Tamandua tetradactyla: one gene and its partner. The protein of the gene in region 2 interacts with the protein of the main gene of each other region in a pairwise test. Links are inferred from orthologs where the notes say so. Each region holds a gene or a part of one and is shown on either strand. Other genes may lie near its edges.

Region 1 (6,972 bases), on a different chromosome or scaffold from region 2:
CTACCCCTTCCCTCTGAGCCTCAGCACGCTCAGTGGAAAACTGGTTGCAAGGGTTTAGATGAGATGACAACTGCAGCTCTGCCCAGAGCTAAGACTTCCTCCCACCTGGGGTCTCTCTCCTGGTCCCCTAGGGGAGAGCTTACATGGCTGGGTGGGAGGTCCCATCCCTGACACCACTCCAAGGTTCGGGTGTCTGGGGAGGTGCAAATCGCAGTGGCCCCAGAGGCGGCTTGGCAAAGGGAATTCCCAGGAAGCTGTGGACCCCGACATCGGTGCCCTTTACGTGGATAAGGCTTCCCCGCACCTGCCCTGTGTGTGTGGTCCGGATGGGGCCAGCAGACTCCTGGCCTGTGGACAGAGAGATGGACATCAGGGTTGGGTCTGCCCAAGCAGTGGTCCTCCCAGACTCTGAGGACTCCTTCCCAACCACAACTCAGTTTAAGGGCACCTTGTCTGCAAGCACCTGTTTTGTTTGCAAGCATCCAACATGTAACCCTGCCCCCAGCTCCAATCCCCCCCCCCCCACTGCTCTGGGCCTGGTCCAGCTTTTCCTGTCAGGGTCAGCAGGACTCCTTGGGACTTGCCACCACAGTGAGGACCCAGAAGCTTCAAACATATGGTCACAAGTGTTTGATGGATGAAGAGCGTCCTTTTAAGGAATTGTGAGCCAGGGCATGCTAGGCAACAGGAAAGCTGTGGAACTTGGACAGACATGGTTCCTGCTTCAGGTGGCAAGAAGTAACATAAAGAAAGCATCCTACAAACAAGGAGCGACGTTGGTTAGGAGAGCTGTAAGAGAAGTGCATCTGTGACTGGAGTGTAAAAAGCAGCAACCCGTCCTGCTGTGGGGATCAGGGGCAGGAAATGATTGAAAGCCGCCTAACAGAGAAAGATTCAATATTATAAATAAATAAAGAGTTTCTATAAATAAGAAACACATCAACAAATTTGCAAATTCATTGCAAATTTGGATCCTGATTAAAACAACAACAAAACTGTAAATATCATTTATGAGATAATATGGGAAATAAGTGACTAGATAGTTGATTATATTAAGAAATTATGGTGTTGTGGATATGTACATATATATTCTTTTTCTTTAAGTAATATATGAAAAATGTACAGAGGATATGACTTCTGAGATTTTCTTGAAATAATGGTGCTGGGGAGATGTAGCAATACAGATAAAACAAGGTTGTCCAGGTCATAATTGCTGAAAGTGAATGATGAGTACATGGCTTTGTTAATCTATTCTCTTCACCTCTGAGCATGTTTCCATATTAAAAAGTAAAAACCAAAATCAGCCTGAAGGAGGTATTACCTGTTACCTATCAGATCAGCATGAATTAGCATTGGCATGTATCACGTGATAGAATGATTCCAGGGTCAATGGCCACTCACAGGCTCCAAGGAGGGTAAATGAGTCATGGTGTTCCAAATCAAAAGGCCCACCCCTCTCTCCAGCAACATGCTGTCTACGCACAACTCCTTGCTGAATGGAATGGGCTGTTTGTCCATGTAATTCACTGCAGCTACCACCCAATGATGCCCGGTGTTTGTTATAGCAAAGGACAAAACCTGCTGAAATGGCCTGATTAGAGGTCAGTTATAGCAACCACTGCTTCTTCCCTGAGAGAAGTTCTTTTATTAAACTGTATGAGGAAGCGCTACCGCACCCAGGAAGTCTCTGCCCAGTGTCAGGAAGTGTAGAAGGCCAGGGCCCAGAAAAGGTGTGAGATTACAGTTTAGGAGAAAACCAGGGTGTGTGCACACATCCATTCTTGGGTAAACTCCTGGGCTGAATGTGGAAGGCCCTGGGGGCCTTCCTTAATGGTTCCCATGGAGAAGCCAGGACTGGGTGGGACAGGAGAGGGTCAGACTCACCACCTTGAGTCCTCTTATACCTTGTCAATTATTCTCTTCAACATAGGTACAATCCAAAATAATAAAAGGGAAGTGGCAGCGAGGCCAGGTAGATCTCGTAGAGGTCCAGTTACCTCCAAGAGCCTGGACGGGGCGGGGTGGAGTGGGGTGGGGTGTGGGGTGTGTGTTAAATGGGAGGGGTAAGTATGGGCCATTCACTGGCAAATTCCTCTGAGAAAGGGCAGGACTGTAGGGCTGCATAGGTAGGGGGCATTTTGGGTGAGAGGATCGTGCTTAATGAGAAAGGACCAGGAAACTTTGGATGACCTAGGGTGGTTTTCAAATAGCTCCTGATAAAAACAGAAGGCAGGCACAAAGGGCAATCTCCTTTGCCCTAGCGACCCAGCCATGCCTTTTCCCCATGCAGGGTGCAGTGGGGTGAGGAAGACACAGTGGCTTCCTCCATGGGCTTTAGGAGAAGCTAAGGAGCTTCTCTGCGCCAGATTCCCAGATGCTGAATTAAGGTCAGTAATCTTGGCTGGGACCCCTGCGGTGGGGGACTCAGTGGCTTCCTCTGGCCAAGTGCACAGCACACTCAGGGTAGACAAATGAGGAAAGGTATTCTAATTATTACTGTTATTACCTGCAGACAGCGCCCGCTCCAGCCACAAACACAAGGAGAGAAAGAAGTTCCTACAGCCCCAGGCTGCTAACCCAACCCAGCCCGCCTCGGAGCTCCGTAGAGCCCCTGGGACTGGACGAGTCCCTCATACTGTGTGGCCTCGGGCAGCCCCGACCCTCTCTGTATCTTACGAGGCCCACCCGGGGCGGTCGGGAGGGGTCCTGCCCAGCGCACGGCTCCCGCGCTGTCCTTATCTTCATCAGCTCCGACCTCCCTGGCATAGTCCCGCCCTCAGCCTCAGGTTCTGCCACTGCAGTTTGGAGGATCCGACTCGGCCTCCGCAGCCCCCCGCGGGAACCTCACCCCCGGCCGAGACGAGAAGGTGAAGCAGGAACCCATAGGCCACGGCCCTCAGCCGCTCGCTCAGCGGGTCCAGCCGCATCGTCCGCTCGTAGGTTCTCCTTTTCGCTACCGGCGGGATCGCTGCTTTTCACCTACTGGCTGCGCCCCCGCGCGCTCCGCCGCGGGTAGGTGCCTCGCCCCAGAGGGGAATTTGGACTGGGCCGGGCGGAGGCGGGGCGCGGGGGTCGGGCCAGGGAAAGGTCGGTCGGACCTGGAAGCTCGGGGCAGGCGGGTGCCGGTCCCCCGTGGGCTTCTCGGATCAATAAAATGTGGCATATCCACACACTGGGAGCACCTCCGCAATACCAGGGACCCTTTCCTCAGAGCTGGAGTCACTGCGTTCACTGTCCTCGCAGCCACAGGCCCGACGAGGACGTTGGAGGTGGAGGGGAGTTGAGAGGAGGTAGCGACAAGCTGTTTGGGGGAACCCAGGAGGGCTTTCCTGAGGAGGTGCTCGATCAGAATACAGATAAAGAAATAAGAACGGTCTTCGTTCGGGGCGAAGGAAACGGCTTGAGCATAGGCAGGGGTGTGACTATGCCCTTCATCTGGAAGCTCGAGAGGCTTCCAGATGAAGCTTCCTTGGCCTCCCCGCCCCCCCACCCCCTTCACGTTCCTTTATCCCCTTAGTGCCTCTGGTCTGAGGGTCTCCAGAGGCTCCTCTGTACTCAGTCATGCCCTCCTTTCGAAACGCACACGATTTCGTGCGCTCCTCCCCCACCTCCCGCGAGATCGAGTTCACGGTCATTTATTCATTTCACAAACGTTTATCGAGCGCCGGCTGATCCGCGGGCTGCGGGAGAAGCGAGCGCATCCCTGGAAGATCCCGAAACACCTTGAACCTTCCTCAGTCCTGGGTATCCGAGCACCCGCCCACCCTCAGGGGCAGGGAAGAATTCAGGGAGCAGGTGCTGCCTGCGGATGCGCCAGGCTTAACCTCAGACCGGCCTTTAACGGCCCCTGAGAACCCGCCTTGGCCTCGGCGTTCCAGTCCCTAACCGGCTCGCGCGGCCCGGCGTAGCTGGGTTCTCTTCTCCGCGCCTCTTCTTGAGCGGTCCACACCTTCTTGGGGTTCGCGAAACCACAACGCCGAGTCCACTACCCATCCCAGACCCCGGGCCGCACACCCGTAGCGCGGCTGTCCCTCGTGCGACCCCGTCGCCTCGCCACGCCCCTTTTCCGTTCTCCGGAAGTGCGCCTGTCGAGGCGGAAGTGCACGCAGATAGTGGCCCACGGCGGTTCGGCTATGGTGGGCGGCGGCGGTGGCGGCGTAGGGGGCGGCCTCCTAGAGAACGCTAACCCCCTCATCTATGAGCGCTCTGGGGAGCGGCCTGTGACTGCGGGCGAGGAGGATGAGCAGGTTCCCGACAGCATAGACGCGCGCGAGATCTTCGATATCCGCTGCTGCTGGGCGGGGACGGGTTCGCGGGGGGCTTGGGAGACGGGGAGAGATGATGTCGTACGACTGGAGGAGCAGTAGCAGGACAGGGCATTTCTGACGAAGGGCTCTGAGTGGGCAAAGGCAGAATCCCTTTTCCTTCACTTGCCACATCTGATTCGCTCCATCAATGACCCAGAGCATCCACTGACGCTGGAGGAATTGAACGTTGTAGAGCAAGTTCGGGTTCAGGTGAGTTACTCCAGCGTCTTAGGGGAGCAGCTTGATCCGGGAGATTCAGAAAGGTTTAGCTGTACACCAGGGACTGACATTCGGGTGTTTTTTTAACTCATGGATTTATCGGGGCATCTTTAGGAACAGGGATTGTTGTGCCCGTTTTGTAGATGAAGGAACTGAGGTCTATAGAGATTGGACAAAGGGCCCAATCAAGAAACTAAGAAGAGGGTCCTGGGCTGGGAGGGCTGTGACTTTTGACATCACTTCCCTACCCCCTTCTCAGGTGAGCGACCCGGAGAGCACTGTGGCCGTCGCCTTCACACCCACCATTCCACACTGCAGCATGGCCACCCTTATTGGTCTGTCCATCAAAGTTAAGCTTCTGCGCTCTCTTCCCCAGCGTTTCAAGGTCAGTTGGAATTGAGCCTCCCACAGGGCAAGCATGAGGATATACTATTGACAAGGGTGACGTGGAGAGCGTGAACAGAGAGAGGACATCAGAATGGGAGCTAGAAGAATCCTAACTGGCAGAGATGAAATTGGGAGTTGGGTTTCCAAGTGAAGGGGACAACAAGAATAAAGGCCTGGTATGGTAGCCCATGACAAACTCTGGGATCTGTCCTGTAACTACTTGTTGAAGAGTGCTTAGAAAAAATATTGCTTTGTTATTTCTTTGCTTTGTATATATGTTATGCTATACAATAAAGAAAGTTAAAAAAAATAGAAACTAAGTTAAGAGAAGTAAATTCATCTGCTCAAGCTTGTAAAATTAGTCAACAGCAGGACCAGGTTCTGATCCCATGTCTTTTTGGTTGCCATTTATCATGTTTCTGCTACATTAGGCTGCCTCCATGTGACCATGCTTAATATTTTCTTCTGTGCCCCAAAGCACCACACTGTAGATATTCAATAAATAGTTACAGAGGTTCATTATTGTAAAATAATAATAATAATAATAAAGGCCTGAGCTGGCAAGTGCAAAAAAGAAGTAAGGAGTATGGCAGGAAGGGCAGTAGGGAACTGTAGATGGGTTTGGAACAGGGGCGAGGCTCAGGCAGGTCTTTAAGTCAACAGTAGTTGATCAGTTCTTTGGGTAGAAGTAGAAGCACTCTGGGTGTATTGGGGGTGTGGTAGAAAGGCCAGAAGCATGATTAGGAAGAAGGAAAAGCTGGAGGTGGTGACTGAAGGGGTAACAGGCAAGGAGGTGGGCAGGTTGGGGGGAGGCTCAGGCCCTGCTTATCTTTCCCTCAGATGGACGTGCACATTACTCCAGGAACCCATGCCTCAGAGCATGCAGGTGAGTGAGGGCATTGGCCTGGGACCCTAAGCTTTCTGAGGCTTCCTTCTTGCCATAGTGGTTTATAGGGCAAGATCCAGGGGAGCCTGGGTGGGTGAAATTGCCAGACACTCTTCAGGGAAGCTGGCCTGACTGTGCTTACCTCGTCCCTCTTCTACTCTCCAGTAATAGTACACGAGCCCATGCTTCAGGAATGCAGGAGGCAGAATGAGCAATCAGGTGGGAAGGGTTCCAAGAAAGTGGGATTGTTGTAGGTTCAGGTGGTTGAAATAGCCTAATCGAGGCTGAGGGTCCTGGCAAAGAGGCAACAGGAGGACTTTACTGGTTGGGCGTAGCTCATACAAAGGCTCAGAGGTGGGACTTGACTAGCAGCATGGCCAGAACCTCACTTTGACTCTCTCTCCTTCCCATCCAGTGAACAAGCAGCTTGCCGATAAGGAGCGAGTAGCAGCTGCCCTGGAGAACACCCACCTACTGGAGGTTGTGAACCAGTGCCTGTCAGCCCGTTCCTGAACTTGGCTTTTGGCTCCCAGCCCACATACCTCTGTCTGGGCCACAGCTCTACCCAGGGCTCATGGCCTTGTTTTCTGGAATCACTGACAATGGGAAACTTAACATTTTGCATTTTGTAATAAACTCTTAATTTATATTCATTTCCAAGCATGCCTTAGAGTCTTTCATCAAATGGGGTCACTCAGGGCTTGGGAGGGGTATGAGCCTATCCAGAATTCAGTGATGAACAGTTTATTGATATTTTAAATTTCTCCCATTGTTTGGACTAGGAAAAGTTGCAAGTGTACAAAACATCGAAAGGATAGTGAATAGTAGTGATCAGACCTGTATACCCATCACCTATATTCAATGGTTGTTAATATGTTGCAACATTTGCTTTTTTAATGTGTGTATATAAGTAGAATTTGAGAGAGAGCTGTAAAGACATGACCCTTTCCTTCTACGTACTCTGTCCTGCACTCCTATGAGAAAGCCTTTACAACCACAGTACTGTCACCTGGCCAAAATTATGAACAATTCCCCAATACCATCTAATATGTAGTCCAGATACAAATTTCCCTAAAATTTCATACATGGATTTTTTTTTTATCAGACTCCAATAGAAATTCTCATATGACCGTGTTTGGTTGTTAGGCTCTTTAGCCTCTTCAAGAACTGTCT
Region 2 (7,793 bases):
CCAGGCACTAGAGCAACTTTCCAAAAACCTACAACCTCCAGATGGGTCCCTGGTCCAGATGAGTCCTGAAACCTAGCCCAGCCTCTCCAGAAAATCAGATAGTTTCATCTCCCTACCCCATATTAGCAACAGACCCTTCCATTATCCAAAATCTAGAATTGCCATAGCCCAAACAACCCCAATGAGAGGTATGGAAAGATCAAAGGTGATGGTGGAATCATACGTAGAAGACAGGACTTAACAAATTAATACGAATGCTGAATCATTAAATTGATATCTCTTTTAGCTGCCCGTATTTTAGAGTAGCTAGAAGTAGAAACCCAAAATTGTGGACTTGTAACCCATGTCAGAATCTGAAATATTTTCTACAACTAATTGTGGGACTGTGCTTTGAAATTTATAGCTTTTTTGTATATATGCTGTCTTTCACAAAAAAATAAGGAAAAAAAGTCGACTGTGATGATAAAAAAATACTCAAGCCTTTTAGGCTCCTATATTTTGGAGCAGCTAGAAAGAAACATCTGAGAGGATGGTAGCCCATGACAAACTCTGGGATCTGTCCTGTAACCACTCATGGAAGAGTGCTTTGAAAACTATTGCTTTTTTATTTCTTTGCTTTGTATATATGTTATACTATACAATAAAAAAAGTAAAAAAAAAAGGCAATGTGAGGATATATAACACATGGGCAGTAAACACCCGGGGAGTGGGACCAGAGGAAAACATAAGACCTGTGAGAACGGCTCAGAAGACCTGGGGCGGGTGGCCACTCAATCAAGATGGCAGAGTGGGACTCGGGGGTTCCATCCCCTCCAGAACTGCCACAAGAACTGCCAGAAACATTTTCCTCAAAGCTCCAGGAAACAGTGAAAGGACGGCAGCAACTGGGGGAGCACTGAGTCAAGAGGAAGGCCACCTCCAGGTGCCCTGCTGGCCCTTCCCCCGCCCCCTGCCAGCTGCCTGCGGGTCCCTGTGCCGGCCTGGCCTTGGAGGGGCACAGGAGCCTGCACGCGACGGGGGGCAGGATGTCTTGCTGTCCTAGGACCCGCCCTGTGAGGAGAAGGTGGCTCTCCCGGCTGTGGGACAGCAGGCAAGCAGTGCTGGCCGTAGCACAGAACACCAGCGCCAGGACCGGGAACCCATTTCCTAGGGAAGAGGAGACAGCAGGAGCCATGGAAGCGGGGTAACTCCCAGGACCACACGCGCACGCCCAAGACAAGCTGCAGCCACAGAGAGGCCGGGAAGGCCTGCGCTGGGCCTGCAGCTGCTCTCTCAACTCACTGCCCTGGAGTGAGAGCCCTGGAGGAGAGCACGCCACCCGCCAACCCGCACAGACTGGGAAGTTCGTTCCTTTACTCCTTTTTAATTTTTTTTTGTTAGCTCCTGACATTTGAGAAAAGTTCTGTTATAACACTAGCTAGATAGAAGTTTAAGGATCAGATGCCTCAGAGTCTAAATTCCAGCTATTATACATTAAAATATCAGTATGTCCACATTTCAACTAAAGTTTACAAAACATATAAAGAAACAGGAAGTGATGGCCCAACAAATGATAGGATTAAAGCATTAGAAACCATCAACGAGAAGGAACAGACCTAGAACATTCCAAAGACTTTTAAAAAATGATCTTAAATGTGCTCAAAGAACGAAAGGAAATCGGGAAAACATCAGATGATACCAGTAGAAAAATGGGAATTATGAAAAGAAATCAAGCAGGGCTGAAGACTACAGAAATGGAAATTTAGAACTCCCTATAGGGGTTCAAAAGCAGATTGGAGCTGGCAGAGAATCTGAAGATAAGAAGACTGAAATCATGCGGTCTGAGGAATAGAAAGAAGAAAAAATGAAGAAAAGTGAACAGCACCTCGGACGCCTACCGGACACCATCAAGCGAAACAATGTCACTTAGTAGGAGTCCCAGGAGGAAAAGAACAGAAAAGGACAGAGAACATACTCAAAGAAGTAAAGGCTGAAAATTTCTCAAATTTAACTAAAAACAAAAGTATACAAATCCAGGACGCTCAACAAACCCCAAATGGGATAAACCCAAATAGACCCACATCTTGCCCCATTATACTCAAACTGTCAAATGCCAAAGATAAAAGGAGAGAATTCTGGAAGCCAAAGAGAGCAGCAACGTGAGGACCTCGATAAGGATAAGCGCCAACTTCTCACAGGAAACCATGAAGGCAAGATGGCAGTGGGGTGACACATTTAAAGCGCCAAAATCAGAAACTATCAGCCAAGAATTTTATATCTGGCAAAAATATCTTTCAAAAATGAAGGAGTGATTAAGACATTCCCAGATAAAAGCTGCGGGAGTTCATCACCACTAGACCTACCCTACAAGAGATGCTAAAGGGAGTTCTGTAGGTATAAAGGAAAGGAAAATACATAATAGGTCAAAGCCACATGAGGAAACAAAGGTTTCCTGTGAGAGTAACAACATGGGTAAACATAAATGCCAGGACTCTTACATTTTTGGTTTGTAACTCTACTTTTTACTTACTACAGGATCTAAAAGGCAAATGCATAAAATGTCATAATAAACCAGTTTGAGACTCACAATGCATGAACATATCAACTGTTAACTATGTGAAGGCAGGGGACAGAAGGGTCCAGGGGCATAGACCGTGTGTATATTAATGAAGTTAAGTTGGTATCAAAGCAAATGGCTGTTACAGATTTAGGATGTTAAATTTAAACCCCATGGTAACTGCAAATAAAATATTACAGAACATGCACGCTCACAGAGACAGAACTTAGAGAACAGGTTGCCAGAGGCAGGGCAAAGGAGGAATGGGGAGCTAAGGTTTCTGTTTGAGGAGATGGGGAAGCTTAAGGATGGAAGTTGTGAGAGTACCGCCACATTGTAACTATCGGTAACCTTATGGAATGGCATCTTGGGAATGGGTGACATGGGGAAGTACATGCTGTTTTTATGAAGGAAAAAAAAGCAAGGCAACTAAAAAGACCACGACAATTAAAGGCAATACATGATCCTGATGATATGGAACAAGGAAGAAGATGATAAGGCTCAAGAAGACATTATGGGAGCATATGAAAAAAATAGGAATACAGACTGCAAACTTCACACAAATGCTAAATTTCTTGAGTCTGACAGCTGCACTTAAGGTGGAAGTCCTCATTCGTGAAAAACGTACAGGGTGGAACTAAAGGTTCAAGGAGCATGATACGTACAACACACACCCAAGTGTTCAGAAGACAGATGGATAGACAAATGGACAGACAGATGGACAGGCAGATAGAATGAGACAGCAATGTTAAAGCTGGAGGATGTGTGCAGCTGCAGCGGGGTCAAGAAGAGGTTTGCTAGAGTTCTCTTTATCATGTTTCTATTATTTTTCTAAGTGTCCTATAAGTCTAAAAGACACATTTCTAAATAAAAAGTTAAAAAAAGAGTGGGAGGGGAAAAAAAGACCTTGGAGGTGATGAAAACATGCTGTCACTAAGGGCTTTTCTGGGTGGTCAGGTGGCCGCCTGCCCTATGCTCCGTCCTCACTCTCAGGCTGGGCTCCAGCCAGCCTCCCGCAGGCCTGACCTCCCCATGTCCGGCAAAGAGAACCCCCTTTTCCTTCCACTTGCCCCCCCCCCCCCCCGGCACTAAACAAAGCAATCTCCCCCGACACACGGGCCACGGCTCTCTCAGCCGCACGCCCATTGCTCTACTGAGGACGGCACCGGGCGACTGCCGGTTCCCACAAAACACCACAGGCTCCCCTTTTCTCTAAGAACCCAATTTTCCCGAGAACTCTAAGATCTTCCCATTCAAAGCTCCTTTCTCTTCATCAGCCCGGCTGGCTCAAAGCGGCCTCCCCGACCCCGCAGCGTCCTTGGACGGGGGTCCTGGCGCCTTAGCTTTGTGCACAGCGGGGCCCTTCCTCCGCAGCTCCCCAGCTCCGGCCCGAGGCGCGGGGCAGGGGGCGGCGCCCTCACCTTTCAGCAGGTCCGGGTGCACGTAGCCCAGCACGTCGGAGACCCCCAGCTCCTGGCGCGAACAGGTGCCGCCGTGGATGTGCAGCCAGGCGGGCTCGGCCAGCGCCGTGCACAGCGCCGTGATGGACAGCGCGCCCGGCAGGGCCGACGCCAGGCTCCGCTCCGGCTGCTTGGGCAGCGCGCTGCCTCCCGGGCTCCGCCGCCGGCGCCCGCCGGGCAGCCCCGCGCCTCCGGGGGCGTACATGCCCGGGGCCGCGGCCTCTGAGGGGCGCAGGGCCTGCCTGGGCGGGGAGCCCGCGCGGGGCGGCAGGGGCGGGGCCGGGGACCCCGGAATGGGGCTGCGGGGCTGGGGGGAAGAGGCCGGCGCAGACCGCAGTGGGTGCAGGGGCACGGGGCGCCGGAGGCCGGCCGCTGCGGAGGACCCGGAGTCTGCGCCGAGGTGCCGAGCCGGGAGGCCCGGGATGGGCCGCGGGGGCCGGGCACCGGGCGTCGGGGACGGCGCCCTGGGGTGCGACCCTCTCCACTCCGCGCCGCGCTCCTCGCCGCTCCGCAGGCCTCGGGGCCAGAATGGCGCCGCCGCTCCGTCACGGCCCCTCCGCTGCTCTGGCTGAGCTTAGCCCAGGCCCGACCCCGCAACGCCCGGCCCGACCCGGCCGGATCCACTTCCGGCTTCCGCCCCCTCCGCCCCGCCCCCGGCGCCCCGCCCCGGCCCCCGCGCGCGTCACAGCGCGGGCGCGCCGTCGGCCCCTGCGCACAGCCTCACGGGACGGGTAGTTCCGAGCCGGCCCGCGGCGCTCCCCGCAGCGGGAGCTGGAGACTACAATTCCCAGAGGGCAGCGCGGCCGGGGTCCCGGGCCGTTCAGTTCCCAGGATCCCCCGCCCAAGGCGGAAGCGGGCAGGTCCGACGGCCGCTGGTGTGGGGGCCTGTGGTTGTTTCGGGTCTGTGGCTGCCCACCTGCTCCTCCCCTGCGCCGGCTGCCATGAAGAACTCGCTGGTGCTGCTGAGCCGTGTCCCGGCCCACCCAGACTCCCGCTGCTGGTTCCTGGCTTGGAACCCCGCAGGGACCCTGCTGGCTTCGTGCGGGGGCGACCGTCGAGTCCGCATCTGGGGCATTGAGGGTAAAGCTCCCAACTGCGCGACCCCCGGCGCAGGGGTCTCCGCGTGCGCGTAGAGTAGATGTCGGGTGTGTGGGGGCCGCAGCCTGCCGCAGGGGTAGACCCTGGACCGGGGCACAGGGACGAAGAGGCGGAGGGACCTTCATGTGTCGCGTTCGCCACCGGGAGAAGGACTTTTTGGGAAAAGGAGCCGGCAAACAAGAAAGCAAAAAACAGCTGGAGGAGGGAAACAAGGAGAGAGAAGTAGTAGGAAAGCTGTCGGCAGGATAATTTGGGGCCCGATGGTAAAGTTTAAATTTTATCCCGAGGGCGTTTAGGAGCCTTTGACAATTTCATATTCGGAGGGTGACTCAGATTTTAGAAAGATGCCTCCAGGGGAAATAGAGGCACTTAACATCTTTCTAAAGTGTACTGTCACATACATAGATGGAGGTTGGACACTGGTAGGGCCTGAGCCCTTATCACCATACGGAGAGGGTAGAGCCTGCCACCTTCCTGTGCGCCCAGCTCCAGGGCCTGCCTTGTTCTCTGTCCATAGGGGGCACCTGGGTCTGTAAGTCTGTTCTTTCCGAGGGCCACCAGCGCACGGTCCGGAAGGTGGCCTGGTCTCCGTGTGGGAATTACCTGGCCTCTGCCAGCTTTGACGCCACCACTTGTATTTGGAAGAAAAACCAAGATGACTTTGAGGTAAACAGGCTGAATGGAACCAGAATTATTGCTTGTTTGCTCTACAGGTTCTGGGACCTGGGCCACCTGATTCTCATGCCTTTTTCCTTTCCGCAGTGTGTAACCACTCTGGAGGGTCACGAAAATGAGGTCAAATCAGTGGCCTGGGCCCCATCAGGCAACCTCCTGGCCACCTGCAGCCGAGATAAGAGTGTTTGGGTCTGGGAAGGTGAGTCTGGTCCCTCTTAGGGCAGTTGGGAACCAGCCAGCAGACGTTCCCCTCTGTGTCCCTGATGGGGTCAGCTCTTGAGGTGTTTTTTTTTTCCTTCCTGCAGTTGATGAGGAGGACGAGTACGAGTGTGTCAGTGTCCTCAATTCCCATACTCAGGACGTCAAGCACGTGGCTTGGCACCCACACCAGGAGGTAGGAATCAGGCAGGGTGCCTGGTGGGAATTCTGGTATGGAAAGTTGTCAGCATTCTGTTTTTAAACCCTGAACTGTAACTCATAATTGTTAGTCTTTTTATAAAGTCAGGTCCCTGGGGCTGTCCTGCCTTGGCAGGGAGAAGTATTGGAACTGCAGCCACTTCCCGGGTCGTACAGACAAGCATTGTACTTCCTGGGTCATCAGATAAGGGCTGTCTTCTCTTCTCCACCCCCAGCTTCTGGCCTCTGCCAGCTATGATGACACAGTGAAGCTCTACCGGGAGGAGGAAGATGACTGGGTGTGCTGTGCCACCCTCGAGGGCCACGAATCCACCGTGTGGAGCTTGGCCTTTGACCCTAGTGGCCAGCGCCTGGCATCTTGCAGTGATGACCGCACTGTGCGCATCTGGCGCCAGTACCCGCCAGGCAGCGAGCAAGGTGAGGGTCCAGTAGGAGAACGAGAGGAGACTCGTCTCCAGGGAGGTCTGATCTGTGGATGGGTTAAGATACAAGCGTGACATAGCATGGACTGGGGTAGGAAGTGACAGGTGCCACGGGGAATCCTCCAGATGAGCTGTTGGGAGAACCAGAGAGAGCTTTGTGGAGGAGGGACCATTGCACCCAAACTTGAAAGCATGCATACATAGGATTTTCATTAAAATTTTTTTTTTTTTTGGCTTGAGCTGACTCCGGGAACCGAACCCCAGTCTCCAGCGAGGCAGTCAAGAATTCTGCCACTGAGCCACCGTTGCACTGCCCCGTGTGCAAGGATTTTAACATGAGGAGAAGCAGTGAAGGGAATTCTAGGGCAAGCGGGACATCATGAGCAGGGGCACTGTTGGTGGGAAATCCTAGACTAAGACTGCGACGGAGATTCGCTTGCATGGAGTACAGGGGATGAGGGGCTTGGGGAGGAGTGAGGGGGTGGGGGCTGCAGGCTAACGCATCAAGATTAGTCCGCAGCTGGAAGTTTCTTTTTGACATTCTGCATTAGAAAGAGCAGCCTGGCCACAGTGCGTGAGGCAGACCTGTGAGCGTGGGACAGGAGTGGAGGCAGGGACTTGCATCTCTTCTGTTGCGGTGAGGGTGGGAGAGTAAGCGTCCCCTCTGCAGTGGGGCAGTCACCACCGACCCCCCCCCCCCAAAGGCGCCTGGGGCACAGGTGCACCTGAGGCTGAAGGGAGGTCTGTTGTGCAGGGGCGGCATGCGGCGGCTCCGACCCCAGCTGGAAATGTGTGTGCACTTTGTCCGGCTACCATTCCAGGACCATTTATGATGTCGCTTGGTAAGGCCTACATCTTCCCCTCCTGGGTGGGGTCTTTTGGGGAGTGAGGACTGTGGCAGCCCCCTGTTATCTTCAGATCAGGCCCGACTCCGCCATACTGGCTCCTCACTGGCTGGCCTGGGGTTCGCAGGAGCAGGAAACCGACTTGAGGGCCAGGTGCACACTGTGCTGGGATCCCAGGCTGCAGGTCAGCACCAACCCTTGGGGCTCACACAGTGTCCCCCCAGCCAGAAACAATAGTGAGTCTGTGGCTTCGGGGCTGGTTCCACATGTTTGTCAGCATCGACTGTGCCCTGAGCATGGCTAGAATGCTGTATTGTTAGGCAGGAGAGTGGTCGAGGGC

What was found. The genes of interacting proteins can lie anywhere in the genome.
Region 1: the proteins of CIAO1 (region 2) and CIAO2B interact in binary tests that used the Homo sapiens proteins (3 or more experiments, as listed by UniProt). The two-hybrid records come from large-scale screens. The link is inferred for Tamandua tetradactyla from reciprocal best matches to the Homo sapiens genes CIAO1 and CIAO2B.

The regions. Positions count from the first base shown.
Region 1 is NC_135342.1:60,623,837-60,630,808, reverse strand, and holds CIAO2B (cytosolic iron-sulfur assembly component 2B), read left to right. Parts: upstream 1-4,054; 5' UTR 4,055-4,133; coding exon 4,134-4,283; intron 4,284-4,439; coding exon 4,440-4,517; intron 4,518-4,785; coding exon 4,786-4,911; intron 4,912-5,753; coding exon 5,754-5,799; intron 5,800-5,964; coding exon of another isoform or gene 5,965-6,053; exon of another isoform or gene 6,054-6,164; intron 6,165-6,214; coding exon 6,215-6,312; 3' UTR 6,313-6,452; downstream 6,453-6,972.
Region 2 is NC_135343.1:2,410,747-2,418,539, forward strand, and holds the start of CIAO1 (putative cytosolic iron-sulfur protein assembly protein CIAO1), read left to right. Parts: upstream 1-4,787; 5' UTR 4,788-4,937; coding exon 4,938-5,076; intron 5,077-5,611; coding exon 5,612-5,760; intron 5,761-5,856; coding exon 5,857-5,968; intron 5,969-6,074; coding exon 6,075-6,163; intron 6,164-6,401; coding exon 6,402-6,603; intron 6,604-7,362; coding exon 7,363-7,450; intron 7,451-7,793. Other genes in the region: TMEM127 (transmembrane protein 127), read right to left, coding at 3,958-4,201. UniProt on the Homo sapiens protein: Key component of the cytosolic iron-sulfur protein assembly (CIA) complex, a multiprotein complex that mediates the incorporation of iron-sulfur cluster into extramitochondrial Fe/S proteins.